4 linked regions of the Caenorhabditis elegans genome follow. The protein of the gene in region 2 interacts with the protein of the main gene of each other region in a pairwise test. Each region holds a gene or a part of one and is shown on either strand. Other genes may lie near its edges.

Evidence for each region.
Region 1: the proteins of pix-1 (region 2) and F52C6.3 interact in a two-hybrid assay, tested with the Caenorhabditis elegans proteins (one large-scale study listed by BioGRID).
Region 3: the proteins of pix-1 (region 2) and sap-49 interact in a two-hybrid assay, tested with the Caenorhabditis elegans proteins (one large-scale study listed by BioGRID).
Region 4: the proteins of pix-1 (region 2) and unc-34 interact in a two-hybrid assay, tested with the Caenorhabditis elegans proteins (one large-scale study listed by BioGRID).

Annotation. Positions count from the first base shown.
Region 1 is NC_003280.10:1,921,066-1,927,055, reverse strand, and holds F52C6.3 (Ubiquitin-like domain-containing protein), read right to left. Parts: upstream 2,298-5,990; 5' UTR 2,290-2,297; coding exon 2,178-2,289; intron 2,130-2,177; coding exon 1,803-2,129; intron 1,752-1,802; coding exon 1,597-1,751; 3' UTR 1,336-1,596; downstream 1-1,335. Other genes in the region: F52C6.2 (Ubiquitin-like domain-containing protein), read right to left, coding at 1-65, 120-422, 475-586; F52C6.4 (Ubiquitin-like domain-containing protein), read right to left, coding at 3,553-3,743, 3,798-3,909; bath-2 (BTB domain-containing protein), read left to right, coding at 4,312-4,424, 4,474-4,852, 4,900-5,047, 5,111-5,262, 5,317-5,439; bath-7 (BTB domain-containing protein), read left to right, coding at 5,952-5,990.
Region 2 is NC_003284.9:13,724,225-13,734,979, reverse strand, and holds pix-1 (SH3 domain-containing protein), read right to left. Parts: upstream 7,688-10,755; 5' UTR 7,679-7,687; coding exon 7,607-7,678; intron 7,497-7,606; coding exon 7,370-7,496; intron 7,326-7,369; coding exon 7,281-7,325; intron 7,229-7,280; coding exon 7,093-7,228; intron 6,700-7,092; coding exon 6,604-6,699; intron 6,560-6,603; coding exon 6,437-6,559; intron 6,383-6,436; coding exon 6,253-6,382; intron 6,010-6,252; coding exon 5,950-6,009; intron 5,862-5,949; coding exon 5,707-5,861; intron 5,660-5,706; coding exon 5,529-5,659; intron 5,463-5,528; coding exon 5,189-5,462; coding exon of another isoform or gene 5,185-5,188; intron 5,083-5,184; exon of another isoform or gene 4,994-5,082; intron 4,630-4,993; exon of another isoform or gene 4,540-4,629; intron 4,223-4,539; exon of another isoform or gene 4,113-4,222; intron 3,670-4,112; coding exon 3,557-3,669; intron 3,484-3,556; coding exon 3,207-3,483; intron 1,824-3,206; coding exon 1,748-1,823; intron 1,685-1,747; coding exon 1,559-1,684; 3' UTR 573-1,558; downstream 1-572. Other genes in the region: K11E4.6 (G_PROTEIN_RECEP_F1_2 domain-containing protein), read right to left, coding at 8,977-9,144, 9,191-9,374, 9,423-9,622, 9,735-9,861, 9,906-10,060, 10,140-10,316.
Region 3 is NC_003280.10:8,031,506-8,038,328, reverse strand, and holds sap-49 (Splicing factor 3B subunit 4), read left to right. Parts: upstream 1-2,561; coding exon 2,562-2,816; intron 2,817-2,865; coding exon 2,866-3,635; intron 3,636-3,708; coding exon 3,709-3,850; 3' UTR 3,851-4,079; downstream 4,080-6,823. Other genes in the region: C08B11.9 (uncharacterized protein), read left to right, coding at 185-233, 276-787; arp-6 (Actin-like protein C08B11.6), read left to right, coding at 983-1,059, 1,107-1,544, 1,587-1,742, 1,788-1,949, 1,995-2,418; nrf-6 (Nose resistant to fluoxetine protein 6), read left to right, coding at 5,627-5,672, 5,939-6,220, 6,262-6,511, 6,555-6,665. UniProt on the Caenorhabditis elegans protein: Subunit of the splicing factor SF3B required for 'A' complex assembly formed by the stable binding of U2 snRNP to the branchpoint sequence (BPS) in pre-mRNA.
Region 4 is NC_003283.11:979,198-986,846, reverse strand, and holds the start of unc-34 (WH1 domain-containing protein), read right to left. Parts: upstream 4,142-7,649; coding exon 4,137-4,141; intron 4,037-4,136; exon of another isoform or gene 3,941-4,036; intron 1,752-3,940; coding exon 1,372-1,751; intron 1-1,371.

The sequences.
Region 1 (5,990 bases), on a different chromosome or scaffold from region 2:
GTTTTTCACAAAAACGTTGAAATTTCCATCGACTGAAACCCGCCGAATCTGATAGGGCGATGCTACTGAAAAAAAAATATTATGGGTAAATTAGACAAATAATCAATTGTAAAACCAACCACGTCTCACGGCGGACGAAGGCAAATATGATGTGAAACGCCTATTCGGTTGGACGATTCTTTTTCCCGCAAGCCTAACATTTACAATTCTACCGGAGGCGGCAGTGCCACGAATAACTGGCTCCGCGGGTGGCCCAGCCAAATCGGGGTTTTCTTCATTTCTGTTGGTGTCCGATGCTTCGACTTTGATGGGATCTCCGGTCACTTCTTCTGATTCACGAAGCGGTGCTTGCTGAGCCTCTTGAATTTTGACATCTTGGACAGTGTCCTCCATTTCAATGATTTGATTTCCGGCATCTTTGTCTGAAAATTATTATTTTTAATGCAAAAACCAGGAAAAAAAAACGATAAATACCGTAAGAGACTGCAAAAACGACTCCCTGTTTGTAGCGAACTTCAGTTTTCACACTTTTCGGCGCTTCCACTGTGATGGTCTTTCCAGTCGACGTTTTGATGGAGAGCAGCATGATTTTATCTGAAAAAGTTGATAGATTAAACCTAATTGAGAGCATTTAAACAAAAAAGACGCAGAAAGAACTTTTTAATTTGACAAAAATAGTGAAAAAAGAATAACAATCGACAGAAATTGGATTTTCAGTAGTTGTTGAACTTATTTTGTTAAATAAAAAATGATAATGCACCTAAATTAATTTTTTTCATTCAAATTTCGATAAATAGCGAGAAAGAGCAAGTTAATATGGGCAAGAGTTTCGAAAAAATCAATAAATCGAAAAACAAATCTCGACAAACTACGGTAAGCGTAAAAGTTCACAATGAACACAATGCGCATGAATTGACGCGCATGCCGTTTTTTGAGTTTTTTTTTGGTTTTATTAGAATTTCAGCATTTTTTGCAGAAAATTTTAAAAAAAACTATTATAATATTTGAAAAGAAACATTTCAAGTACTGAATCAAGCAAAACAGGAAAAAAATATTACAAAAAACTGTTTGCGCGTCAATTAACATGCATTGTGCGCAACAGCGTACTTTCTCGTCTACCATAGTTTTGCCGATTTTTTATTAATTTTTTTGTGGTTTTTAACGAAAATTCTTGTGAGTTGAAATGTATTCTATGATAGAGAAATACAGAAATTAACGAAAAACCTGAAAAGCACACTTTCTGAATCACTGAAAAAGATTCTTTACGTTGGAAATTCAGAACACAAAGAAATATACCGGCTGTTTAAAAACCATATTTTTAATTTCAAAAAAATCTAAACTTTTTCAACATTCATCAACAAAAATAAACAGAACAGTAACAAAATAACAAGTAACAAATTAACAATATTCAAATTGAGAACTTCATCCACGAAGTCTGAGAATTAAACGGAGAGTAGCCTCATTATAGATGTTATAGGCAATCAAAGTACGGTCATCCTCGAGCTGCGATCCTTGATAAATAAGACGCTGTTGATCTGGTGGAATACCTTCCTTATCCTGAATCTTGAGCTTCAAGGTCTCAACAGTATCCGTATTCTAGATTGAAATGGTGATTGTCTTTCCGGTATAGGTTTTCACAAAAACGTCAATTTCTTTTTCTATAGAAACTTCCAAACGAAGAGTACTGCCGTTTTCGAAACTGTTGTCAAAAAGAGTGCTATGATCGCTAAACAAATCTAGGTCCCAGTTTTCTGTAAAAATTAAAGAAATTAGACATATCTTTCAATATTTAAAGTACAAACCCAATAATAGTTTTTGCGTATTTGGGAGGATTCTTAGTTTTTCCCAAATTTTAGCCTTGACACTTGCCATGGTATCGGAGGCGGAAGTGTCAAGTGTGCATGTTCTTCCAGCGTTCTCAACGTAAATTCGGATTCCTTCATGATGCAGTTCTTGCTGAGTCTCGGCAACCTTGACATTCAGATTTCCGATGACCTCCGATGATTCGACACTGATGGGATCTTCGGTCACTTCTTCTGATTCACGAAGCGGTGCTTGCTGAGCCTCTTGAATTTTGACATCTTGGACAGTGTCCTCCATTTCAATGATTTGATTTCCGGTACCTTTGTCTGAAAATGATTTTTTTAATGCAAAACCCAGAAAAAAACAATAAATACCGTAAGAGACAGTGAAAACGACTCCCTGTTTGTCGCGAACTTCAGTTTTCACACTTTTCGGCGCTTCCACTGTGATGTTTTTTCCAGTCGACGTTTTGATGGAGAGCAGCATGATTTTAGCTGGAAAAATTTATAAATTAAATATTATTGAGAGTTTTGCAACAGAAAAACGAGGACAACGGTGAAAAAAGAAGCAAACAAGGGAGAAATCTGGTTTTTGGATAATTTCGAAATGATTTTTCTTAAAAATATGAATAGAATGAATTAATAAATATTATTATCAAGATTTTGATGAATTACGGGCAAAAAGCAAGCTATAAAGAAGAATTGCGTTGAAAAAGTCAATAAATCGAAAAACAAATATTGCAAAACTACGGTAAGCAAAAAAAGTTCACAATGCACAAAGAACACTTTAATTGACGCGCAAATTTTATTGAAATTTCATTTATATTAAAAAACTTTTTTCTAAGTTTTCGATGAAAACATTTCGAGTACTGAATCAAGAAAAACGGAAAAGTCAATTATTTAATGTGTATCGTGTGCAACTGCCTACTTCCTCGTCTACCGTAGTTTCGCTGATTTTTTATTAAATTCTTTGTGGTTTTTTAAATAATAGAAATTCTAATTGAAGAAACATGTGCCAACAGAAATTCTAGCGGGTTGAATAATGCTAAATTGAATTAAATTCGAGTATTTCAAAATATCAGCCTGAAGTATCCAAAAACCTGAAAAACCAATTTTCTGAACCATCGAAATAAAATGTTTAAGTCGGAAATTCAGAACACAGAAGAATTTACTGGAAAAAAACCCTCATATATCATAAATATGGTACCTGTAATATTTTGAGACAGTGTTTTTAATTTAAAAATTAAAAAAAAAACCTTCAACATTTATCAACAATAAAAAACAAAAAAGTAACAAAACAACAGATTAAGAGCAATCAAATTGAGAACTTCACAACCGATGTCTGGAGACTAAATGGATAATATCCTCATCACGAATGTTATAGGCGAACAGAGCACGGTCATTCTCGAGCTGTGCCCGACCGAAAATGAGACGCTGCTGATCTGGTGGAACACCGTGTTTATTCTGAACCTTGAACTTCAATGTCTCAACAGTATCCGTATTCTTGATTGAAATAGGAATCGTCTTTCCGAATAAGGTTTTCACAGAAACCGTCAGTTTTTCTTTTACAGGAACTTCCAAACGGAGAGTACTGCCGTTTTTGATGTTGTAGTCAGAAATAGTACGTTGATCCTTGCACAAAACAATGTTGGAAGGTTCTGTAAAAACTAAAGAAATTAGACAAGCTATCAGTTTCAAAGTACTAACCCAAATATAGTTTCTGCAGATTTGATGGAAAACCTCGTTTTTCCTAGATTTTAGCCTTAACACTTGCAATGGTATCGGAGGCAGCAGTGTCAAGAGTGATCGTTTTTTCACAAGTTTTAACGTAAATTCGCATTCCTTCACGATGCGGTTTTCGCTGAGCCTCGGCAACCTTGAAATTAAGATCCTTGATGGCGTCCGATGCTTCAACAGTGATTGGATCTCCGGTTACTTCTCCTGAAAAAATAAACATATATTGAAATAAAAACCAAAAAAAAAATCGATAAATACCGTAAGAGACTGTGAAAACGACTCCCTGTTTGTCGCGAACTTCAGTTTTCACATTTTTCGGCGCCTCCACTGTGATGGTTTTTCCAGTCGACGTTTTGACGGAGAGCAGCATGGTTTTAGCTGGAAAAGTTGAATTTATTGAGAGTATTGCAACAAAAAACAGTGAAAAAAGAGTAACAATCCACAGAAATTTGATCTTCGGGAAGTTTTGAACTTATTCTGTTGAATAAAAAAAATATAGCACTTAAACTAATTTGTTTCATTTAAATTTCGATAAAAAATGAGAAAAAACAAGTAAATATGGGCAAGAGTTTCGAAAAAATCAATAAATCGAAGAACAAAAATTTCCAAACTACGGTAAGCGAAAAAGTTCACATTGCACACAATGCACATTAATTGACGCGCAATTAGTTTTTTGGGGTTTTGTTGTTGTTTTTTCTTCGCATTTAAACGTAGTTCATCGTATTTTTTGCAGAAAATTCAAAAATAATTATTTTCAGCGGCACATTGGGAAATGGTCGCTGTCAAAAGAGAATTTGAGCTCTCCCATGTTTTCAAAGATGTGTCGAAGCTGGAAGATGGAAATACTTTTTATGGTCCTGAAGAAGAACATTTCAATGTTCAATGGCAAGCTAGAAAATGAATTGTAATTTCACTCTTACGTTTAATATTGCAGGCGAATAGTTCTCATTCACCAAAAAGAAGACGTGGCTGTATTTCTCCGGTATCTGCACCCAAAAAATGAGCAAGCTCCCTGGAAAATCGACTCTGAATTTACCTTGAAACTCTCTAATTCTTCGGGAAAATCTGTGACAAAAACCGGAAGTGACATTTGGAATTCATATGATGCACTTGGATTTTGCGATGTTTTCGAGTGGGACTCATTGCTGAAGGATTATCTAATCGATGACGTCATCATCATTGAAGTTGCTGTTAAAATCAAGAATATGTCTGGAATTCCGAAGAAAAAGCTCAAAAGCTTCGAGAGATCGAATGAAGAATTTTCAGATGTGATTTTGGCAGTTGGAGATAAAAAGTTCTTCGTTCTCCGAAAAGTATGTTCTCAATTTTTTTATCAATCAATTATTGATTTTTTTTTCAGTTCCTGGCTTCCCACTCTACATATTTCGAGACTCTGCTGCTCGGAAATTTTGCAGAAGCTGACAAATCAGAAGTCAAACTCCAGGACATCAATTCCACCGATTTTCAGAATCTCATGGAAGTTCGGTATGGAGAATATGCTATTGATGGTGAGAAATTCGAAATATTTTTATAAAATAAATCCGCAAAAATTAGAATTTTAAAAATTTCAGAGGAAACAGTGGACGGAATTCTGCACTTGGCTCACTTGTACGATATGCCGTTTCCGATTAAAAGATGTGAGGAATTTCTTGTCGATTCATCTGAAAAATCCACGAAGGAGAAGCTTAAAGTCGCCAAGAAGTATCAGCTGGAGAATTTGAAGGTAGCAAAAATCCGAAAAAAATCTCGAAAAACGTCTGAAAATCTAATTATTCAGGCGTCTTGTCTCGCAAAAATCAATACGTTGGAGGAGATCAAAGCGGCATTGGCTGGAGATTTGGATGAAATGGATCCATCTGTGGTTCATGCTCTTTTCCGTAAATCGCTGGCTCTTCATTGATGTTCCATTCTTTCTTCTTTTTAACTTTTTTTGTTGAATGATTCCTTATTTTTAATTTACGACAACTAAAAATATAATACTTCCGACGATTTTACTAGGTTTTCTTTTTTTCAGTGTTTTTTGATGATCGGTTTCTTATCTTTTTGTGAAATAAAATTTTAAATGAATGAATTGAGTTTTTAAATTTGAATTTTAGTTAAAAATTGGGTTTTTTCAGGAAGAATTTCGACGAGAAGAATCGATATAATCGCAAAAGTCGATAAAATCATTAAAAAATCTTGCCAAACTACAGTAAGCAAAAAAGTTCACATTGCACACAATGCACCTGAATTGACGCGCAAACCTTTTTTTGTGATTTTCCAGTTTGTTTTTCGATATATTTTCCATATTTTCGTTCATAATTTCAATATTTTCATTCAAAAAAATGTTCCAAAACGAAGAAATTAATTCTTTACGCCCACTTTCCAGGTTTTTGCGACTTTAATAATATTAAATTTCAGGGACTCTTCGAAATGGTCGCCCCCGGAAAGAAATTCACGCTCAGGCACATT
Region 2 (10,755 bases):
GCAGACATACTACACGGAACTAATTCAGAAACCAGATGTGTGTTAAGGATTCGGTAGTTTTGGAGTTTCAAAAAACATCAAAAATTATCAAAATTTTCCGAGTTTGTTAAGCACGGCAAATTTGCAGAATTTGCCGTGCTCGGCAAATATTGAAAAAAGAGATTTGCCGAATTTGCCGAGCTCGGCAAATTTTGAAAAACCAGCAATTGCCGATTTGCCGAGCTCGGCAATTTTTTCCATTTGCCGCACACCCCTGGTGCAAACCTAGTTATTTGGAGCAGCCGACACGTTCGGTGTTTCGCAGCTTGGCGTGAAATGAGTAGCTTGCGCGGCGATCGCTGAGACCAGCGGATGCGCCGTTGCGGCCACCTCATGGGAGCCCTAATTTTAACATTGAAAAAATATAGAAATTTGATACAGCTTTGATTTTTTTTTGACATAAGTCAAGCTTTCAGCAAAGCCTAGGCAACTTTTGAATGCTGATCATATCAGTTCAAAAAAGACTCAAAAACTAGAATTTTCGCCTTGCTTCTAACAAAAAAAGGTTCTTAAAGACTAACTTGCCTTAAATATATAATTAAATATTGTTTTATTCAGAAAAATGTAAAATAAGAAATAGAGAAAAAAGTGAGAAACAAAATACAAAGAAAGTGTGAAAGTTACACAACACCAAACGATTTCTGTTTTGGAAAAATATATAAATGCTAAGAAATCGGAAATCAGGCAAAAAACAACATTGATTTGTGAAAAAAAAAACACGAAAGAGGTGGTCGAGTCAAGGCACATAGGTCGAGAAAAGTTGGAGAAATAGAGGAGTAATAAAGTCGAGAAGGAAGAGGTCGTGGTTGTTGGTATTTTCTGGGAGTGCGAAAGGAAGACGGAGAAGGAAATAATGTTTGATATGGGTTCAAATAATTAAATTAAATAGAATTAAGTAGGAAAATATAAACTTGTAATTGGACATTTGATTTTTAGTCCATCTGGTAAATAAAAAAAATCAAGTCTCTAGATGAGTTCTGTGAGGATATTAGCTTGAAAAAACAACAAAAACAGATTTTCCTAGTGAAGCTACTTTTGGCAATTTTCAATTTTTCAGTCTTTTTAGCCTGACATAAACATTTGCATGGCTTCCGATGTTCAAATTAAAAATTTAAATGACAAACCAGCTAACTTGAAAATTCAAAAAAAAAATATGCGAAAATTGTTTTTTTTTTGGTTTCAGTCAAGCTTCCCGTACTTCCAAGGATAATTTGGACTGTCCTTTTTTATATTTACTGATTTGATTGAGTATAAAAAGTTAAGTCAATAATCACAAAAGTCAACCATTTAATGATAATATTTCAACGCTTTCGATCATTCTACTGGCATAACTTTGACGATGAACTTAAGAAAACAAAGAAAACAAAGTTTTAAATGAACGTTACTAGAATCAAACTTTAAACTAATTGATAATTAGGTGTTGAAAATGCTTTTTAGCACCGCACCAACAGGTTAATTGCAATGACTTTTTTGTAATTTCTAGCGCTCTCACTCATTCGAGAAAACGCTTTCAACTAGTTTACAAGTCAAACGAGTTGATCTCCTTTCTTGGAGTACTGGAACTCCCATCTGGCGAGATCACCCCAGACATTTTTGGCAAATTGTGCTCCAGACGACGGCGTGCTTTTTGTTCGGATTCAACAACCTGGAAAAATGAAATTATTGGTGCTAGATGTGACAGACCAGAAGAGAAGAATTTTTCACTCACTTTTGCTAGTTTTTGAAATTCGGTCTGAAGGAACGAAAGTTGATCTTTGATGGCGTACACAGCATCCACAATACTTCTGAAAAAAAAAGAAGAGGTGACAAATGAGCAATGAAACGGAAATCTAGATAGACGAAGAGAGAGCAAGTCGGAGGAATAGATATTGTCGTTGGAGCAAGAGCGAATTGACCATTGGGAAATACTGGTCACTTATTCAAGTTCAAACTAAATACATCCGATGTGCTCAAGGAGTACGACGAATGAAAATGACAGATTTATAGACGATGTCTAACTAAGTTCGATGTACATAAAGTTTTAAAGATAAATTTGAAATGTTTTCTAAATGCACGAATCTTTTTATGTTCGTTGAAGAATAGCTTATAAATTTATTTAAATTACACACTTGTGAAGGGAAATTTGAAATAAAGATTGTTATGGTTTTCACTTAAAGGTCGAAAAAGGTCGAAAACATGACAAAACAAGCTATCCTACTGAAAGTTATCTAAAAAACAACTCACGTCCTGTTTTTCATCAGACAACAATTTCCGATGAACGGCTATAATACTATAATACCAAATAATATCAGTAAACAAGGAAACTACAAAAAATTGTCTCTACAAAAATTATCCCCTCTTCATCTTGTTATCTTTGGGGATACTTGTTTTTCCTTGTCAGCTTATTACTTTTCTTTAAAAGCAGTACGAAAAATAATAACTGAAAATGGACGATATGCAAAACAGACAAAAGAAGAAAAAGAAGAAGCAAACATGACTAGATGAAAACAATCATTATTTACTGGTGATCAAAAATTATATTTTTACAGAAAGTAAATGTTTGATCTCTTTTTGGCTTCGAAATGAAGGGCCTTGTTAGGAATATCACTATTGGCACGTTGTGCAAGGCTGTCCGATTACGGTTTGATCTACAAAATATGGGGGATTTTTGTTGCTAAAAATGTGACGTCAGCACGTTCTTAACCATGCGAAATCAGTTGAGAACTCATTCAGTTTTAAATACACAGTGGAAAACGTTTTGGCCGGTTTTGAATTGAGAACTAAAAAATTGTTCAAAGCTGAGCCACGTGCCCAAATTACTCTACTTGGGAATCAACACTGGACATATTTGAAAAAAAAAAACAGAAATTTTAAAAGAACCTTAGAAAAATCAACTTCTTTACTAAAAAAACATCAATTTGGGGGGGGGGGGGGATTCCAATTTTGCAAAGTTTCTAGATATTTCAGGTTTGCTGAAGTTAGTTTTTCTTATCAATCAATTATCGATTTTCCTATTCGTCCGTTATTTTCCCACCCAATTTTTTCATATACGCCACCCTAATATCTATGATTCAGCAAGAGAAGAGGAAACGAAAAGGTTAAATTTTTTTACAAATTGTGTACAATCTTGACCCTAGAAAAACTGAACTGGACTCTTCTAAGGTCTCATCGTTCAAAAAAAAACTTACTTCTCTTGCAAAACAACTTCATCTCCAATCATCTCCTCCATCAGAATCTTCTCATCTTCTGCAACAATCAAATGTGGTTGTTGATAACTTTCATTTGCATGGAAGTCCGACTGTCCGCCACCAGTTTCCACACAGTATCCTTCCAAAATTCGAAGTGTCTCAAACTCAATCTCCTCATCACGAGCCGCGTCTTTTCGAAGTCGAATGTTACGATCACCTCGTTTGCCGGCGTTCCCGCTTAGGAAAAACGATGGGAACTGGGAGAATTGCAGGTTATCTGAAAAAGATTTTTGTTAGTTGATAATCATAATCACGACAGAGAAAACAATAAATAACAAAATATCTCCTACCTGCAGTATTCCTTGAATTGCGACTGCTTGTTGGCAGCTCAAATCCTTCAGGGAGCACCATTCCGAGTTCATGATCGAACTTCATATTTCCCAAGTTTAAACTGTCATCAAAGCTGAAAATTTCAAAATTTAGGTCTCGTTCCATGTTTTATTTGTTTTTTATCATTATTTTTTATATTGTCCACACAAAAAACTTTTCACCCTAATTTCTCCTATCTCAATAGCCATTGTATCTGTTACGAACTATTCTTCGTGATCTATTGAGTCCGAAATTTCACATGCGACAGTTAGAAAGTCTTCGTGTTTTGATCCGTGAAGAACACACAATTTCTTGTGTTGCCTAAATTGGTGAGCGTTAATGTTGCCAAGTCTTGTTATCCAAAATCGAGGGATCGAAAAACATAGAGATTTTTGGTGAGAAGAGATTTGTCCATCTAATACATAAATACCAATTAATCTAAGTAGTAATTTACATCAAATTTTTCGCTTCATACTCTATCCCATCCCATCAAAATCGTATTTGCAATATCTTTTTGCATACATTTGTCTAGAGGACAAATGCAAAAAAAGGTAAGCCCAATGCGGGGCTCGAACCCGCGACAACCAGATTAAGAGTCTGGTGCTCTACCGACTGAGCTAACCGGGCGGCGATAGGAACCGAGGCGCGTGTAATTTAAAAAGTGAAAATGTCAGGCGCACTTTGTGGCTGTCAGGAAGTGTCTCGCACTTTTTAGTGTAATAGTGTGTTGAAATTTGTTAGGTCGTCGGTCGTTGCCAACACTGTTAAAATAAACAAACCGGCAAAATTGATTTCTCGCGACATTGAAAATTAATTGAATAGCGATACTTTCAAAAAGTGTATAGGATTTAATAAGAAAATTCCTTTAATGTTGAAAAAATATTCCACCTAGAAACTTCGCACCCCAATTTAGAAAAGTGAGTAAATTTTATAGTAAAGTTTTTTTAATGATCATTTGAGATAGACAAAAGCGTAAGCCCAATGCGGGGCTCGAACCCGCGACAACCAGATTAAGAGTCTGGTGCTCTACCGACTGAGCTAACCGGGCGGCAAAAGTAGATGTGGTGCGACCTTTCAAATAGAAATATGTCACGTTTTTCAAGGACAGTAATGTGATTGACGCCACTTGTTCGTCTCGGTATGTGGTATGTACACTTTCACTGAGAAAAAACTGCGTAGCGTGTTTGAACAGATTTCAAAAATTATGTTTTTTTAAATCTGTGCATAAACGCCACGCTGTTTTTTTTCAATACAGTGTTTAATATTCAAAAAAAATTTTTTTTAATTTTTTTCCGTTTTGGTACTACTTTTGAAGTTTTGAGAATAATACAAACTGGTATCACGAATTTAATCTCAAAATTTGGCAAATCATGGAATTTCTTTAAATACTTGTAATAGGAAAACCAATCGCAACGAACAAAAAACTAAGCCCAATGCGGGGCTCGAACCCGCGAGAACCAGATTAAGAGTCTGGTGCTCTACCGACTGAGCTAACCGGGCGGCGAAAAGAAATATAACTTAATCGAAAATAATTGAGGGTTAAACGTTGCGAAGACATTTTTGATAATTGTCTGTTCATTCCAATTTTACACGGTTAACATGAAAACACTCACTTCTTCGAGCTTTTTCTTTTGTTCATCATACTATACTGTTGATCCGAGTTTCCTGGGGGATGAAGTGGGGGTTTTGCGACCAGAGGAGTCTCTGCTCCTTGAGTCTGTGATTGATTCATTGTATCGTTAGCATTTTTGGAAGGTCTCCTCAAGATAGTTGTCGTCGGAGTGATGATTGCCACGTTTTCAGCTTTCGCCAAAGCAACAAGGAATCTCTCCACCTCACCCCCGGTTGAAACCATCGTTAGAGTGAATTCTCCAGTGTTGGGGCGATCTAGAAAAACTTGGGTTACTAATTTGTTTTTTTTTTTAATTTTAATTTTTTATCCGAATATTTTACCAAATGAAATTTCAGTAGCTTCCTTTTTCCGAACAATAAAACCGGACACTGTAAACTTCTCCTTAATGTCGTATGTCATATCCTTGGTGACTTCGAAAAACATAATGTATTTAGTGAACAATGCCACGAATCTGAAATCACTTCTAAATTTGAACAGGTAAAATTTTCGGCAACTCACCGATCCACTGCATCCGCTTTCTTGTATTCCACATTTGCAACACCCACATAGAGAATAGATCCTCGTTCTGACGCTGAAACCACCTTGTCCACTTTTGACACAAACAAGAAGTCGAGTTGGGCTTCTTTCTGCTTACGAAGGGTTTCACACAAATCCTAAAAATAGTTTGATTTTAAAACTTGTTGATCCTAATTCTTGTGAGTCAGTTAGATTTGTGTTTCTAATATTTTTAAAACAACGCACCTTTGTTTCCCGAAAAACTGCCGATCCACGTTGTAAATCTCCACGGTCCGGATGATTCGCCTGAAAATTTTTTTGATGATGATCTCATTGACTCAAAATGATATAAAAATTATTATGCATTAACAACGTTTGTTCACATGAGTAGACTTGATAATTTAACATAAAAAAATTATCATAATAAAATTTTCACAAAAATGATGTATTTTAATTAAACAACTGTGCTTTCTCTATGAAAAAAAATTCCAGAGTTTAATGAATCGATTGACCTATGTTTTTTTTTCTCATTTAGATTCAAATACTCACCGGAACAATTCGCTCAAGCTCCTGGAGCAAGTTGTAGTACCTCTCGACGTGCCGGAGTGGCTCACTGAGTCCTAACACCAATTCCTTGTACTCCCGATCCTGCGACTTTACCACCTTTTCCAACTCCTTCCTGAAAACGCGAAACAATACATTCGATACATTCTCTAGCTCTGTCAAAACTTACTGTTTCTTCTTGAGAACTTCGACAGCGTCTGGATGATTGTCAGCATAACTCATTAGTGCCGTTCTGAGCTCAAGAGCAGCATTCATGAACATTCCACCGACTCTCATTTTTGGAAGCTCCTCACTGAAATAAGAAAGTTGAAGAAGGTTGGAGAAATTAAAACTCACTTTTGCTCACGCTCCAGTTGTTCAAAAAGATCACGTTTCAGAGTGTAAATTACTTCGAAATTCCCAACCAACGTACAGTATTCTGGAGCCGTCAAGCTGAAAATTGTCAAAAATGTATTATTGTCGTACCCAAAAATGAAAATCCACCGGAAATGCAATGGAACTTGATGTTTTTCTCAATGTAAATCTCAAAGTAAATTGTAAATAAATATGAATAATTTAGGTAATAATTTAGGTATACTTTTTTAAAGCTTTAGCTAGACTCAATTTTTTTTTGAAAAATGGGACCTGTGACTGTATTTTGAAACAGTGAGCTACTCGCCCCACTTTTTAAGATACTTTTTTTCATAGCGCAGAGGTGCCCATCATTCCAAATTTCAAGTTATCAATTTTTAGAATCTGGATTGATCAACAAAAAAAGCAATAAGAAAAATCCGCAATGAATTAAATTCACATTTTGAAAGTTAAAAAAAACATTTTAAAACTCACATTTTAGATGCCCCAATTGGAATCAATAGAGATTGCAACGTTTTGAGCAAGCTTTGCATGTACTCCTTTTCCGATTCAATATAACTTTTGAGCACAAGGTCTCGATAATCTGGTTGAGCTCCGACGGATACCACTTCTGAATTTTTAAATTTGAATTGTCTCAACGAGTAAATCTTCATGAGATATACCTTTTGCAGTTGCATTTGGGACGGATCGAGATCGCTGGAGTTTGTCTGCAATTTGTGGGTATTAGCTCGAATTTTCCGATTCAAGTTACCTTTTTCTGTGATGAGAGTTACATAGGCACACGGAAACCATCCGGTCACTCCTTCATGTGTTCCTTCCCACCATCCGCCTTCTTGCTGCTGTGTTATTGTGATGATGTCATCCTTGTCGAAACTTAGCTGAAAATTCGTGGAATGATACTTTTGTCAAAAAGTAATTTAAGTATGTACTATTTTTTAAATTAAAAAAAAATTTCACAAGTTTGAATGTGTGGGAAACAAAACCTCACCTCATCGTTATTTGAACCTTCGAATTGAAATTTCGCTCGAGCCGATAACGGAGAACCCGAACCAGGTTCCATTTTCTGAAAAAATACTGTATTCGGTGAACATATTCGATAAATTTTTAACAAAAAAAATTGAGAAAAATTCAAAATCAATAAATTCTCAAATAACACATTTTTAGTAATTAATAACCCTGTGGAGTTTAAAAATACTGTCGATGGAATCGATAGAACGGGTGAACACTGAGTAAGAAATGCAAACGCGCTCCATCGCACTCTCTGGGTCTCTTTTGCGGGGTGTATCTCTCGTCTTTTCAACCCGTATAGTGGCGGCCCCTCAACGGACTTACGGTGATAAATAACATGTGTTGACCCTTTCTCTTCACATCTCACGAACAAAGTGCTCTTTTTGATGCTCTTTTGAACATTGTTTTGTGTAGAGATGAATTTTTATTTTATAAGAAAGAGATTTATGATGTAAATTTGGAAAGTAACTAAATTCAAGGAAGGAAAACTTCGAAATGCCGGTAAAACTCATTATAATAGCATATTTATCAAATTTGATATCAAATACATTTCAATTTTTTAGAAACAAAACTATAATTTTTTGCATTTTTTCTTATTTTTCGACTGCTCGTTTCCCTTTTTAGAAGTTTTAAAGAATATCCCCAAAAAATTTGAAGTAGGTATAAACATTATTTTTGCGGTGGAACCCATCTCAATGAATCCATGCCACTCCAATTGTAACATTCAAAAAAATTTCAATACTAAGCTATCTTTAAAATTCCACAAAAAACCTAATCAATTTAAGATTTTTCAAATGATGTTAGAGTAAGACAAGAGGATGGCAGACATAGTCGTCTGTGATTGAAAAAGTGAAAACAGAAAACGTGTTCCGATCATATCAGATCGAAACCTTATCATGTTATATCTTTTAACCGAACCCACAAAACTGAACAATTTGTTTGAAAATGATTATAGGACAAGATGTAACAACGGAAGTATTCTGGCTTAGCTATTTTCTGAAAATTGCTACAAAACCACGTATTTGTTGCTTTTATTCAACCACATATTCAAATACATACATACCTATTTAAATTATTTTAAAGAACAGCTTTAGTTTTTCTTTTTTTTCAACAAAAAAAAAAACAAATCCATATACGCGCTCTATGATATAAAAATTGAGAAAATGCCCTATTTAATAGCCCTAAAAACAACAATCCAACAAATAATAGAACACTTTTTATATAAAATATGCAGAATAAGAAATTAAAAAAATATATATTCATTAATTAAATTTATACAATTAAAAAAAAACGATGACCCGAATTTACATTATTCACACAATTTCTAGTCACAAAATATTTATGATAAATTCATTTTCTCTCGGAAATAACGCTCCATTGCCGCTGATATAGATTGAAATAAGTTTGCGATACTCCTTTCCCATTTTGGTTCAGCTCTCGGAGTTGTCTTCTCTGGAACTCGTTCCTGGTGGTCACCAAAATTGTCATAGAAAGTAGCAATGACACGTAAGGAAATATCTGAAATCTCAATTTTGAAATGCTTTACCAGATAGTAATAACTTACAAATGTGTTAATCGCGATAAATTTATAATTTGTGAGACTAAGAGAGTCTCGGAATGCTCTTACTACCATGGCAATTAAAATATAGGCAGAAACAAAGACAGTATTCAACAAGACCATTGGAAAGAGAGCTCTTAACACTACCAAGTTCTCATGTTGCTGATACTTTTTGTTAAGCCCGGAGGATCTGATCAAAGATATATGTAGTTGATTATTTCACATTTACATTACTTACAATATTTTTCGTTTGTTATTTTGGTATAAAGCTAGAAAAACGGCCAATATAAAAATGTCAACAACAAGTATTCCCAGGAACACGATATACATTCTTTCTCCAATTGATGCAGATGTAGAGTATACAAGGCAATGGGTCATGGGCTCCAATGGATCTTCATTCCACAAAGTCCATTCAATTGCAAGAATTGCGGAGAGAATCTGGAAAAAAAAAACGGGAAACCTATTTATTGAGAAATTGTATCGAAAATTTATGGTACATACACGTAAACTTCAGAAATTTTGAATTTTAAACTATGAAAAATAAACTCACTGAAAAAAAAACCAATAAACCACCAAGCCATTGGGTTTGAAATTCATATTTCTCTTTTGCTACTGTAGCAATTAGACGCTCGAACATTTGACAGAACTGAGTTGTAGTGACTCCAACGAAACATGTTCTAAAGTAAAAAAAACTACTTCAACCTTTACAGTAGTAACTCACAATGCAATTCTTCTGAATATGGAACAAGACGCTGTTTCAAAAACTAAATCACAATCATTTTCATAACTGAATGCAAGGTATATTTGTCGTGTGCAAACATAGACGATATCCAATGAAAAAATAAGGATAAAGATCGTGAGCAGAATCATGAGAATCTGAAATTGAAAATTAATTCAATGACTCTTTGTTGTTATTTTTTTTGCTTTCAAAATGCTGTTATATTGTGAACGTTACCTTGGCATTATAATGGAACAGCAGTCTAAACCCATATAGAAAGAACGAATATACTATTATTGCCACTGACAATATTCCAGACAATGAACACATTATCTCGGGGACGATGTACAAAATATGCGTTGCAATACTTCTATTAAAAGCGCATGCCGATATTACCATACTTGCATGGCTCATTTTTGAGTGTCCTGGAATTTGGAAAATTCAAATATTCGAAAATGACGAAACGAAAAAAAGTGAGTAAAGTGAAAATATTCAGGTAAGAGAGTTTGAAATTCGATAACTTGTAAACTACTTGAGTAGGCGGCAATATTTGACTTTGAATTCTCTTGGTTCTAAGTTGCAAATGAATGAGTGAATAAAAAGAATAAAGATTACAGAGATTACGAGGAAAGAAACAAAAAGGCGTGTAACGGAAATATGGTTCCTATTCTGGACATCAGACATTCGATATTCTTTCCGTGTTTCCAGAACTCTCTCGGGCAAACACCTACATATACTCAGTTGTTGTATGTCAGTAAAACTTGCATGTCTCATTATTATTATAGATCAGATATTCAAAGAGCGATTGTTACGCAATGAGCATAAGAAGGCGATGAAAACATGTAAATTAAAA
Region 3 (6,823 bases), on a different chromosome or scaffold from region 2:
AATGGGTTCTTGATTGTTTTTGTTTTAATATCAGACATTAAATTTATTAGTTCAATAATTTGTTTTTATATTTGCATCATTTCTGGTCTCAATCCGTCCAGCCTATTTTCGATTGCATGTGTTTTTAAAGGCCTGTCACAGCTTAATACAAGATTAGTTACAGATGGAGATAAATGAAGTAGAAATGGCGAGTGATATGCCTCTTGTCCAGCTTCCACAAAGAGGAGAAAGAAGTACGAACAAATTTTGATATCAATAGTAATTAAATTTTTCAGTAAACGTTCCTCTCGTGCAGTCCCGAAGTGAAGATCAGCGCCTTGTAACCAGTGCTCGTCAAACTGACAAAATTGATGCCGATGATTTGGTCGCGCTGGCAAATCAGTTAAACAGTGCCCGCCAATTGGTGAAAGGAAGAGCTTGCGATCGTCTGAAGCAAATTGCCGATCAAATGGAACAATTACATATGGCAGCTCGTGCAGTTCTCGAAGATGCTCAACGCGATGAGCATTTGCATAACGTTCCCTGTAACATGGAGAAGCAACCTGGCCGAATTTACCATTTGTACCAGAAGCAAGGAAGCATGAACAAATATTTCTCTATGTTGGCTCCTAACGAGTGGGGATACCAAGAGAAGAAAGAAGAATATCTTGGATCATATCGGTTGGAATATGACAGAAGCTGGACTCCTGTAGGAGAAATGGATCGTAAAGACGAAGAAGTCGCTCGTCTTCAGCAACTTCTTCAACGGGAAGGACCGGTCGCCTTACGTGGGAATCCTAATTTTTAAGAAGCATATGTAACATTCGTAAAAACGCATAGATTTTCAATTCAATTCCAATAACCGGGTTGTTTCTTGTGTGCCTGATACTTTCATGAATATTGTGATAATTCGAAATTATTTGTTATCTTATAGGTTACCACCCTACTCTTAATTTTTTATCTGGAAAAATCACACTACTCATTCTGTGAAATAATTTTGTAGATGAGTTTAACAACAATTATTTTTGACAATGGTGGCCATAATATGAAGATAGGTACGATAGACTCAGAGTCCCCTAGGTTTGTTTCTAATAAGAAAAATATCAATATAATTTAAATATTTTCAGATTAGTTCCAAACAGTATTGTGAAAGCGAAACATGAAAAGAAGCGGGTTTTTGTTGCACACGAGCAAGAAGAATGTTCGGACAAGTTTTCGCTATTCTATGTGCGACCAATTGAAAGAGGATATGTGGTGAATTGGGATACACAACAGCAAATCTGGGAGAAAACGTTCGGATCTATGGATGTGGAGGCGTCTACTTCTCGAATTGCACTCACAGATAATAACTATCTAATCCCAGCTCTTCCTGATGTCTCTAGTGAAATATTGTTTGATTATTTCGGCTTCACAGAGGTACACAAAACGTCTGCTTCGACTTTGGTGGCAAAACATTCAAATAAAATCAACAACGAAAAGTGTGCAGTTGTTGTGGATTCCGGGTTTTCATGGACTACGGTAGCTTCATTTGTGAATGGAATGCTTATTCAGGATAGTGTTATAAGGTTGGAAAGTGTTTTCAAACTACAATTAGCTTTATTTTTAAGGATCGATGTTGGTGGAAAAGCGTTAACAAATAAATTGAAGGACTGGGTATCTTACCGACAATTGAATGTTAGCGAAGAAACATACGTTATCAACGAATGTAAAGAGGATCTTTGCTTCGTCTCACAAAATTTTGATGAGAGCATGAAAGAGGCTAGGTAGGTATAAAAATGAAGAATACTAATTATATTGTTTTTATTCAGGAATCGATTTCAAGAAAATACAACAATGAAACGATATATTATGCCGGATTTCCACTCGACATTCCGAGGTGTAGTGAAAGACGTTAAAGAGCCACACGATCCACAAATTCCTTCAATTCATTTGGGAGTTGAGAGATTCGCCATTCCGGAAATCTTATTCAAGTTAGTAATTTCGGCAAAAAGTATAAACTATTTTATCTGTTGCAGTCCCTCGGATATTGATATTGATCAATGTGGTGTCGCAGAAGCTGTTATCGAGAGTATTTGTCAATGTCCAGAAGCATTACGGCCTGCTCTGGCAGAAAATATCATCGTGATTGGCGGATCGTCGTGCTTCCCAGGATTTCGTGAACGCCTGGAACGAGAAGTTCGATCAATGCTGCCAGCAGAATATGGATTGAATGTTTCAAATGACGTAATAAACCCACAAACTCATTCCTGGCATTGTGGTCAAGAGCTTCTCACTGCTTCTAAAGTTCCATGGATCAACCGAAAAGATTGGGACGAACGAGGAGACTCGTTGGAGTTCTCTAACTTTTTCCAGACTCTTGTGCAATCCGATGAACTGAAGGGAACTCGTAATTTCGATGATCAGAGGGAGAAATCCCCAAAGGAAGATGAAGATTTCTGAACTGATCTCTTATCACTTTAAAATAAACATGTTTTATATATATATATGCCAAAATATTTTTTTTTGAGATCAGAGGTTTATTTTCCTTTGTTGGACTTATTTTTTTTCATGTGCTGTTCATTTTTTAAAAATCAATATTTCAGATGTCAGCAGGGCCGATAGTGGAAAGAAACCAAGATGCAACAATTTACGTTGGTGGATTAGACGAGAAGGTGTCAGAGTCCATCCTATGGGAACTTATGGTACAAGCAGGACCTGTTGTCAGTGTCAATATGCCGAAAGATCGAGTAACTGCCAATCATCAAGGTTTCGGATTTGTGGAGTTCATGGGAGAAGAAGATGCAGATTATGCAATCAAAATTTTAAACATGATCAAATTATACGGAAAGCCAATTAAAGTAAGCTATCAAATATGTTTAGTTTATTATTTAAAAAAATAATATTCAGGTGAACAAAGCATCGGCTCATGAAAAGAATATGGATGTTGGTGCAAATATTTTTGTTGGAAATCTGGATCCAGAAGTCGATGAGAAATTGCTATACGATACGTTCAGTGCTTTTGGAGTTATTCTTCAAGTTCCAAAAATCATGAGAGATGTTGATTCGGGAACGTCTAAAGGATTCGCGTTCATCAACTTCGCTTCATTCGAAGCTTCAGATACAGCATTAGAAGCTATGAACGGCCAATTTCTTTGCAATCGAGCTATCACCGTCTCATACGCTTTCAAGAGAGATTCAAAAGGAGAAAGACACGGAACAGCAGCGGAGCGTATGCTGGCTGCACAAAATCCACTGTTTCCAAAAGACCGGCCACATCAAGTATTTTCTGACGTTCCACTTGGTGTTCCAGCTAACACACCTTTGGCCATGCCAGGAGTTCATGCTGCTATTGCTGCTCATGCAACAGGACGCCCAGGCTATCAACCACCACCATTGATGGGAATGGCTCAATCTGGATATCAAGGACAATATCCACCAGTACCACCACCTCCACCAAGTGTGACACCAATGCCACCTCCAATGCCGCCAACGCCAGGAATGACTCCTCGTCCACCACCACCACCATCATCTGGAATGTGGCCGCCACCACCACCGCCTCCACCAGGAAGAACTCCAGGACCACCAGGTATGCCTGGTATGCCTCCACCACCACCACCATCACGATTTGGTCCTCCAGGAATGGGTGGAATGCCGCCGCCACCTCCACCAGGGATGAGGTATATATTTTTGTTCTAAGTTGAAAATATCGTTCATGTTCACCGTTCGAACTTACACAATTTTTCTTTTCAGATATCCGGGAGGCATGCCGCCACCACCACCGCCGCGATATCCTTCTGCTGGACCAGGAATGTATCCACCTCCACCACCAAGTCGTCCTCCAGCACCACCATCTGGTCATGGAATGATCCCACCTCCACCACCTCCATCATAATTACTCGATCGGATTGGAATACCTTAATCTTTATTTTCAGAAACTTTTGTTTTTCACGAAAAGATCTTCATTTCAGCTGTTCTAAACTTTTACATTTTAAATTATTTCGTTTTATTCTCATTCCATAAACCAATTTCTATTTGATGTCAATTCAACTTCAATCATATTCCACAACCATCATCTCCTCCTCTCTCTTATCAATCTCATCACAATCACACCTTTCTTTTCCAATTACCACTTCGATACGTCAAGTCACGTTCTTCAGCGGTTTTTTGTTGCATTTTAATGTTCTCACACAATCTGTACGCCTTTTTCCACTATTTAAGACATCATTGATGTTCGCTGGAGCGGCAAATCCTATGAACTATAGGCAAGTTCAACGCCTAATAGAGACGTAGAGTGTAAGTGAGGTTTCCGGGAGAATTCGTCTCGCACCTTCCTCTCATTGATTCTATCAACGAACGGAACGAGTTAAACTAAAAAAAAAAGTGTAGAGAAATAGAGAAAGAAGGGGAGAGAAAGAACATGGACAATGACTGTATTCAACCGGAGGACACACCAAAACTAATTAGTCACCCGAAAACATCACCTACAATCATCACATTGCTTCTTCGCACTTTTTCCAGAAATATTATTCCAGTATCATTTTGATTTTCTCCAATTCAGTGTTTTTGTGTTGTAGAATTTTCAGTTTATTATTTTTGGAGTTCCGAGAGTATCTTCAGTTCAAATTTTGCACATTTATCTCCTTATTTAAATGAAATTGCTACTACATTCCTAGAATTTATGAACAAATGGAATAATTTTTATTAGGAATTTCTCGAATTATGATTCATTCTTCCATTTTCCATTCATAACAATCGTTCGTTTTTCTTGCATTTGAAATTTCATTCGTCAGTAAAAATTCTACAAAACAACATTGTTTCAAATAACCTGTTATTTATATAATTTTTAGGATGAGTTTATGAGCTCTAGAGGAAGAAACCAACTTTGCCCGTTTCCAATTATATAATTACAGTACTCAACTTTTCCAATTGTTCGTCATATACATATTTCCACACCAGAACTCATTTATATATATTTTGCAACGCATCAATGTTTAGCTTTCAAAAATTTTATGATCTAGAGAAGTTAAAAAATCACAAAATGTCGTAGTTAAAAATTGAGGACGTTTTATATACTGTTACAAAGTGTTACAAAGTAGCAATAATTCAGTTTTCATGTACTTCTTATAATTTTGGAAGTTCACTAAAAAAAAGTTACACGAGTTTTATGTTCAATCTATATCTTAACTATTCTTATTTGAACACTGTAGGCTCAAAATTTCAATTTTTCTGACAGTCTGGCATTTTGCCAAATCTCTGACTAAATATTTTGGAAAATCCACAATGCCGTGTTTTATTCAGATATATTGTCTTATTGACCTGCTGTGACTATATTTTGACAAAACTCTTGAGTTTCTAATTATACTAATGATTAGTGGTAACCCTACATATGTTATCTGAAAACCCCACTGATTCTGTAAAACGAATGTCCTTTTGATAGGTATTTCTTTTTGTTTCTGATACAATATTATATTATACTAGGGAGAGAGACTTAGACTGCCAAAAAATATTCCTTATCATTATAAACCTTTGTGCCTTGATTGCCTTCGAGCAAAAAAAACCGCCGACACTTAATGATTGACACTTATTCGCCTAATCTGTTCAATTCGTTTCACTTTCTTGCAACTTTTCATTGCCTTCCTGCTGCTTACTTTAAAACTTACAGATCAAAATGGGTAACATGCGGAGGCTGTTGATCTTTGCTGTTCTAGTAATATGTAAGGATAAATAATTACATTTTTAATAAAGAAAAATTACAAAAAGATCAAGGAAATTTGAACTGTTCATTACGATTACAGTAGATTAGAAACTTTCTCGGATGTTTCATGTTTCTTTTGTTGTGTATTTTGGATTTTGAACCATTTTATTTTATCTTAATTTTATGTTTAACTAGTCAGATATTCCATTAATTATATTCAAAAAAAAAACAGAGTGGCATAATTAATTAAATTCATGTTAACGATTAAAATGTTTATATTTACAGTAACCGTCATATCCAATTCAAAATCGAGTTACAAATATGATGGTTCATTGTTCTCAAGTAAAGAATTGGATTATGATGAGACAGACACTAAAGCAATGGGATCCGTTTTTTCAAGATATATGTCAGATTCCGATGCTCAGCTAATTCTTGATCTCGACTTTTTCCGTCATTTTTTCAATTACGCAGAAGCTTATAGAGATGGAGCTGAAGAGGGAAATCTTGAATTAATGAAGTATGCTGTTGAAATGGTTGAAAAATTAAAATCATTTGATATATCAATGGGTTAGTTTATAATGACTATATCTTTAACAAAAAACATTTAGCTTGCGTTGGAGACATGATGCACTTGGCATGGACTGGAGTAGAATATGCAACTCATGTTGAAGAGCATAAAAACTGCTCAGATTGCAAATGTACACCACTTTTCCAACAAAAGAAAAGTGAACGTCACTGGATTTTTAATGTTTTTGATGCAATGGGAAAGGTTCCAGCTGGTATTATGAGTGGAAATAACTTATGGGTGGGCTCATGGAGCACTTGTAGAAAGATTGACGTTGTCAAGAATGCTCAAGGGTTAGTTTGATTAGATGTAAAAAATAATTAAATGCGATTACAGACAAAAGTGGAAAGGTCAATATTGTTTGGCAACAATTGATGCATATGAGAGAGACAATCCACTAGTTTATTTTGGAAATATGATGTCTGGACCACCAGATAAACATTGCTAGTGAGTTAGAGGGACTACAAACTACCTATATAAGCACAATCATTAGCAACAAACTATGAAATAAGAAATAAAACAATAATTTGGAAATTTGGCAACTCTGGCATGAGATTTCAAAGTTGAGCTGAATGATACACTTCAGACGTAAATGGTTGACTTTG
Region 4 (7,649 bases), on a different chromosome or scaffold from region 2:
TGATTCATTTCTTCATATTATTTCCGAATTTTTGCTTAATTTCAATAGATGAATAAATAAATTTAATTAATTTCGAAAATCAGGTTCGTAAATCGACACAATTGCTACAGTAGTCATTTTGAAGGATTACTGTAGTTTTCACTACGAGATATTTTTCGCGTCAAATATGACGTGAAATAAGAGCATTCTCAGAATTCTCTCTCTTCCAGTAATATCAATTTAAAATTTTTAATTTTTCAGAATTTCTTACGCCTTTCTCCAGACATTTCGACGTCGTTTTTAGACGGACAACACCAAAAATTCATATTTTAAGTAGGAATATATAAAAGTGAGAAATCTGTTTTTTTTTGACTATAAGACCATGCTCAATGAGTCATCGTGAGCCGCGAAAAGCTACTTAACTTGAGGATCGGGGACAGATTGCTAAATAGGAGAAAAATGATCATTGATTTTTTTTTCTGGGTAATTTACAAGAACATGTGAAAGTATTAGATTAAAAATAGTGGTTCAGAAATCAATAATTTTTGAATTGAAAAAAATGGATCCATTAGCATATTTCAAACAAAAGTGTTTTTTGTTGTTTTGAAAAAACAGCTTCTTATTTTATTTTATTTTTTTAATTTTTTCAGATTTTAATTTTTTTTTTCTCTAAGCTACGAAATTTTTTTAACCATTTTCCAAAAAAAAAAAGTGAAATTTTGAAATTTTTCAAAAAAAACATTTCTTAGGAATTTCTTCGAATTACAGATCCTAATTTTATAATCGTAATAAATTTTTTTTTTTAATTTTCAGAAAACCCAAAAAAAAAACACTGAAAATATTAGTTTAAAAATCGTTTTTATATAGAATTTTGAAAGTTATCTTTGAAAATTAATAACAAATAAGTTTTTTGTGAACTTTCAGAGAAAAACAGAGAACTTTTTGTTTTTTGGAGACCATAAATAAATAAATAAATAAATATATACCGTATATTCTCTAATAGTGCTGCATATCCAGTAGTACTGCAGTCTCTAATAGTGCTGCATTCAAAAAATGTCCAAAAAATAGTGCTGCACCCCATTTTCTATTGAAAAAGTCACTTGACAGTTTCGATATTTTTGGGTATTTTTTGTATATTTTTGATGATTTTTTGATAATTTATGGGGTTATTCAAGTAGTGTCGGAAAATTAAAAATTGTAGAAAAATGAGCAAAAAAATTATACGTTTTCTGATGTGTTTCTGATGAAAACTAAACATAAATTTTATACAATGTTATGATGCTTCGTTTTTCCGGAAAATCGATAATTTTTTATTTTCGATTTTTATCTCTGGTTAGGTTTTTTTATATCTTGGGATTTTTGTCGTGTGAAAGCTATATTTGAAAAACGCACGATGCATCTGTTGATAATCACTAATTCCATTCATATCATGAACTTTCAACGTCTCAATCGCCTGTAACACAATGCTTAAAAACATTGTCGCATCCTGTTCATTCTCGAAATTCAGCCCATACACCCGCCGCTGTTCGGTACGCCATTGATGAAACATTGGTGTGGCCTTGTGATATTTGATTCCTCGATAAATATTACAATTCAAGATATTCGTGCTGTCAGCGCGGTTGGATACAATCCGAAACTCGGGTCGCCGAATGTCTTGGATTAGGCGAACATTTGTCATTGAATCATCATTTCCGCCGAGTAGTACCCATCCTTTTGTCGATTCGTTGTAGGTCATCACTCGGGCCATTGCCGTCGCGATACATGCTTCGCTACTGGAAAATTTGAATTTTTTGGTGGGAAAAAATGAAACTAAGTTCTGAGAATGCGTATTACACAACATATTTGACGCGCAAAAAATCTCGTACCGAAAACCACAGTAATTTTTTTAATTACTACTGTAGCGCTTGTGTCGATTTACGGGCTCGAAACTAATTGATTTATCGAACCGAGCTCGTATATCGACACAAAAACTACGCATTCTCCGAATTTCGTGCACATGTAATATGATTGCACTAAAAATCATTTTTTCAAAATATACTTGTTTCAAAAATGACAAGAAAAAGTTGGTTTTTTTTCGGTGGCCGGAAATCGAAAATGTTTGGCAATTCGACTAATATCGAGGTAAAAAGTGTGAAAAAGTAATTTCTATCATCATAGTAAATGCGGTTTTTGTGGAATTGTAACTTTTTTCACTCGCAATTTAATAATATGACATTCTCAGGGAATTTGAGAATATTTTCGATAATTCGAAAGTTGGCGAAATTGAAGAAGGTAAAAAATGAGATTTTTGTCATCTTTTAAAAAAGGTTCGGATCAACTTTTTGCACAAGTTGCGAATTTTGAGCTCTTTCAGATGTAATAGAACCGACCACTTATATATGCGAACCTACTAGATTTTCGAAACTTTAAATAATGGTATCTGATTAAAGGTGGTGTTGCAGACGAAATTTGTTATTGCTTTATTAGACTCAAAATTGTTTGAAAACACCGAATTTTATAATGAAACTTCTCAAAAAAAAGTTATGGCGGCTTGAAAAGTGACCTAAAATTAGTTGAAATTCGAAATTTGACTTGTCACAGCGACTGGAAACTAACTTTTTCGAAATCACCTTCAAATTTTGAGTATGCAATTCAATTATCTTGCATTTTCAACTTCATTTAGGTATAATAAAGTCGGGAGTTTTCCAAAATATTGTTTCCAGCCGCTGCGGCATTTTTCAAATTTCAAATTTCAACTAATTTTAGGTCATTTTTCGAGCGGTCATAACTTTTTTTTTGGAGAAGTTTTCAAGAAGTTTCATTTAAAAAATCGGTGTTTTCAAACAAACATTTGAGTCTAATAAAGCAATAAAAAAAAATCGACTACACCACTTTACAAAAAAAATCCAATCACTCTCTAAATTTCCACTCAATTTTTATTGTTTCTCATTTCATTTAATTTTAGTCTCGTCCCTCTCTCGGAGGTCGAGCCGGACATGATAAGTGGCAGCAATTGGCACGGGCTCTTTTCACTGCTCATCCAGTTCTCTTCCTTCTGCTGGACACTAGGTATTTGTGCAAATAGGAACACACAGCATCACCTCACACACACACAAAAAAAACATTAGAGAGCTTCAGTGTCAACATTACAGTCAGACGCTGTGAATCAGTCAAAAAATGGATTTTTGCTGGGTGGTAGATCGCGGAGACACGGGGGTTCTGGCCTTGCTCATTGAATTTTTCGCGCTACATTGACAATCGTCCGCCGGACAACGCGTGGAAAAGTGTCGTGTACTCCACACGGACAAATACATTTAGCTTTACAACTAAAATCGAGCCGCAACGAGACACGCAACGCGCCGTAAATCTACCCCAGATATGGCCGAGCCAAAATGGCCTAGTTCGGAAAACTCTTCCATTTCAATTTATGAGGGAAGCCAGAAATCCGTGCGGAGAGTAGCGTGAATGAAAATTTCGCTTCAAAAAACCCCAAAATAGTCTCAAACTGAATTCCCTTCAAAATGAGAACAGCGACCAATCAGCGAACCGCTCCGCCCACTTTTGAACCAATCAGAATGCTTGTAGCTACTGATTGGTTAGAAAGTGGGCGGTGCGAATCGCTGATTGGTCGTTGGTTTCATTTTGAAGGGAATTCTGCTAAAAACAGTTTTTTTTCAATTGTCTGCATTCAAAGGAGCATTCCTATTAGGTCCCAGCACGAAAAAATTGGCAAATAAATTTTATAACTCGTGTACTCCCCGAGGAGCATGCAAATTTTTTTCTGAAAAAAAATGCTCCTCTGTGTCGATTTACGGAGCTCGTGTACTCCACGAGGAGAATATCGATTTTTGAAAATTTTTTTTACACTCAATTCGCGATTTTATCAATAACTCATAGTATTTTGTTCAAAATTTTTATAATTTTATGCTGAAAACAACGAAAATACGTGAAAACGATCAAAATTTAGCGAAAATGGTCAAAAATCAAGTATTTTAGCGCCAAAAACTGGCCTAAAACATAAAATTCACACTTTTCCTCGGGAAGTACACGAGCTGCGTAAATCGACACAAGCTCGTGGCCGAACTTTTGCAATTTTTAGGCCAATTTTTTGGTTTTTTTTTTCAATTTTTTTTCAAATTTTCCCATAAAAAGTTCCCCATCTCCATAGTCATTATTACCTCATTCTGGCTCAAAAAAGTGCAATCTAATCTCCTTTTGCTCTTTTTGCTCAAAAAAGTGCACTTTTACGGCAGATTTTGTGTCTTGTCAACAGCAGCAGCAACAGCAATCGGTCAGTGTTTCACGCATTCGAAATGCAACGGCAAAAATTTTGAAGTTTTTTGGTGGAGGTTTGGCTGAAAAATGAGAATGTGAGAAGGGAAAAAACAGAAAAATATGCATTTTTTATGACGAAAAAAAGAACGAGATTTATAGGGAAAAATGTTCGGGGAGGGGAAAAAATCGATTTTTCAGAAAATTGAATTTTCGATTTTCTGGAAAACCTTGGAAAAATCGTTTAAACTTTTTATTAAATTTTGTTCATTTTGATCTCTAAAAAGAGGAAAAAAGAGGAAAATGGACAAATTTGAAGCTATTTTTCGAGAAATCTAGTTTTTTTTTCAAAATTTCAGAAAATCGGAGAAAACATTTGTTAAAGAATTTTTGAATTTTTTTCAAAAAGCGGGAAATTTTTTTTTAGAAAATTTTTAAAAAAATCAATTTAAAAAAAATCGATTTTTAAGATTTTTAGGATAATCGAGAAATTTTTTTTGGAATTATTTGAAAAAAAATCGAAAAATTATCGATTTTTCGTTGGTCGGAATTAATGATTTTTTTCTAGAATTGGGAAAAATTTTGTTTTAAAAAAGTTTTTTTGTATTTTTTTTTTACAGATTTTGCAAATATTTTTTCAGCAAAGTGTGATATCGATTTTTTTAAAAAGAAATTTCTGAAAATCGAAAAAATATATTTTTTGAACAATTTTTTTTCAAAAATTGAGAAATTTTGGTTTTTTCAAACACTTTTTGACACCTAAAAATCCGTAAAAAATTATTTTCAAAATTTGGTAAAATTTTTGAAAAAAAAAGTGCTGTTTTTGCTTTGAGCTCAAAAGTGTGCAATGAATCAAAAATTACTTTTTTGATTCAAATTTTTGGTATTTTTGTAGGTTTTTTTCATTAAAAAAATATTGCCCATCAATGGAAAACATTGTAAAAATTTGCCAAATTCGTTTATAATTGAAAAACTAAATAATTATTTTTGATTGAACTCATGATTTTTGTTTTAATTTTCAAACAAAAAAAACTGTGAAAACCCCGCGAAAAAAATGGAAAATGCTCTAATAACTGTGCAAACAGAAAACACAAAAATATCAAAATTCATTGTCTGTTGTGCCGGCCATCGTTACAGTGAGAAACCCGAGAGAGAGAAAGAGTTTCCGAGTGGGAACAAAAAATGGGGAAGGGGTGAGAGTGACGAAACACAGGCTGATGGAGACCGTTTCCGGAAACGAGTTGCACGGGGGGGGGATCATGGTTTTTTAAACAACAATAAAAGGTAGTTTCTTAAATTAAAACTTCTAAGGAAATCGCTTCGAGACACAAGAGATTAGATTTCGAATTGTCATAAAAAAGTGAATGACTCATTGTCGTCGTCGTCTCACTTTCTGTATGACGAACAAAGTGCAAACATGCAGTGTGTTCAATATACATTTGCGTGGGCAATATATTTATTCAAATTTTTAAGTTTGAAAAAAACACTGTAGTTTAAAGGCGCACGAAGACACGAAATGGCCGAAAAAGCCCAGGAAGTTTTGAGTTGAAAACCCCTATAATTTCGTTTTTCAGCTATGTAGAAAAATGTTTTGATTTTTCAAAAAGTATCTTAAAATTTTTGTTTTTTTGTTTTTTCATCGACATGAACAAAAATTCAATTTGTTGAAAAAATTCAATTTTCTGAACTTTTTTTTTCCGATTTCTTGATTTCCCCCCCCCCCCCCCCCCCCCCCCTGAAACAAAAAACGATACATCGAAAAATGGCCCCATTAGTCTGAAACTGAGAATGCGTATTGTACAACACATTTTACGCGAAAATCGTGTTGTCACGTGGTGTCAGAGTGTCTCATTTCGGTGTGATCTACGTAGATCTACAAAAAATGCGGGAGAAGAGACGCAGAGTTCTCAACTGATTTTGCATGGTTAAGAACGTGCTGACGTCACATTTTTCGGGCGAAAATTCCCGCATTTTTTGTAGATCAAAACGTGATGGGATAGCATGGCCCCACGTGTGCTGTAGAAACGTCAGTGTCGATTTACGGGATAACATTTTTAGAAAATATTCAATCTTGGCAGCAGAATTTAATTTTCCACTAAAGGGTAAGAGCACAAAAACCCACAGAAAATTGAAAATTGCTGCCAAAATTCGAGGAAGCCCGCAAATCGACTCGAGAAGAATTATTCTCGTAAAACGAGATCCCGTAAATCGACACAAGCGCTATACAGTAGTCATTTAAAGTATTACTGTAGTTTTCGCTACGAGATATTTTGCGCGTCAAATATGTTGCAAGATACGCATTCTCAGAATTTAGTATTCCCGTAATACAGAGTTTCCGCGTTCCGCTGTGTGAGACCGTTCGTGCAACAATAAGTAACGTATACAAAAATTTATGTTTTTTCTTATTTAAAAAATTTTTGAGTTAGTTTATATCCTATCCGTGTTTCAGGCTTTTTGACCGAAAATTAAAAATTTTAGATAGGTATTCAATATTAATTTTTGCGTCCGTCTAAAAAATTCTGGAAAAAATATTCATCAAAACTACTACATATACTACAGGGCGAGTAAAAATAGTAGTAGTTGTAGCAGAAGTCTACACGGCTATCTGTTATGAGATGAGACGCGATTGAGAGAGAGAGAGAGAGAGAGAGAGAGAGAGAGAGAGAGAGAGAGAGAGAGAGAGAGAGAGAGAGAGAGAGAGAGAGAGAGAGGAAGTGGAGAAATGAGAGTAGCAGAGAGAAAAATGGAATGGTGAAAACTACTCGAAAAACGACGAGTGGAATGGCACAGCAAAAAAAGAAAAAAGTTTTCGCGGGGAGGGCTCTCCGTCCCGTATGCCAGCTATCCTTTTCTCGTGAGATGCTCCTTTTTCCATGAGCTCCGGAGAGCTTTTGGAAAGGGAGAGGACCCCCTTGAATGGATTTTCGGAAAGACAGCACAAAGTCCGAGTAAACTCAAAAGTTGAGAGAAAAAAAACTAATTTTGCGGATTTTTGAACTGAAAAAGTACACGGATTTCTGGCTTCCCTCATAAATTGACACGGAAGAGTTCGCCGAACTAGGCCATTTTGGCTCGGTAGATTTACGGCGCGTTGCGTGTCGCGTCGCGGCTCGAGTTTAGTTGTAAAACAAAATGTATTTGTTCGTGTGGAGTACACGACACTTTTCCACGCGTTGTCCGGCAGGCGATTGTCAATGGAGCGCGACAAATTCAATGAGGAAGGCCAGAACCCCATGTGAAAAAGTGATTTAAATCGGGTACAGGGGTGTTTGTTTTTCTATTTTTTAAAAATATAGTACTGTAGTTTTCACAATTCTTAAAATAAGAAATAATATATTTTTATCGAAAAACTTTAAAAATTCTATGAGAATTCCGAAGCTACCAGGAGTTTAAAATTGCTGTAACTTTTAAAGGCGCAC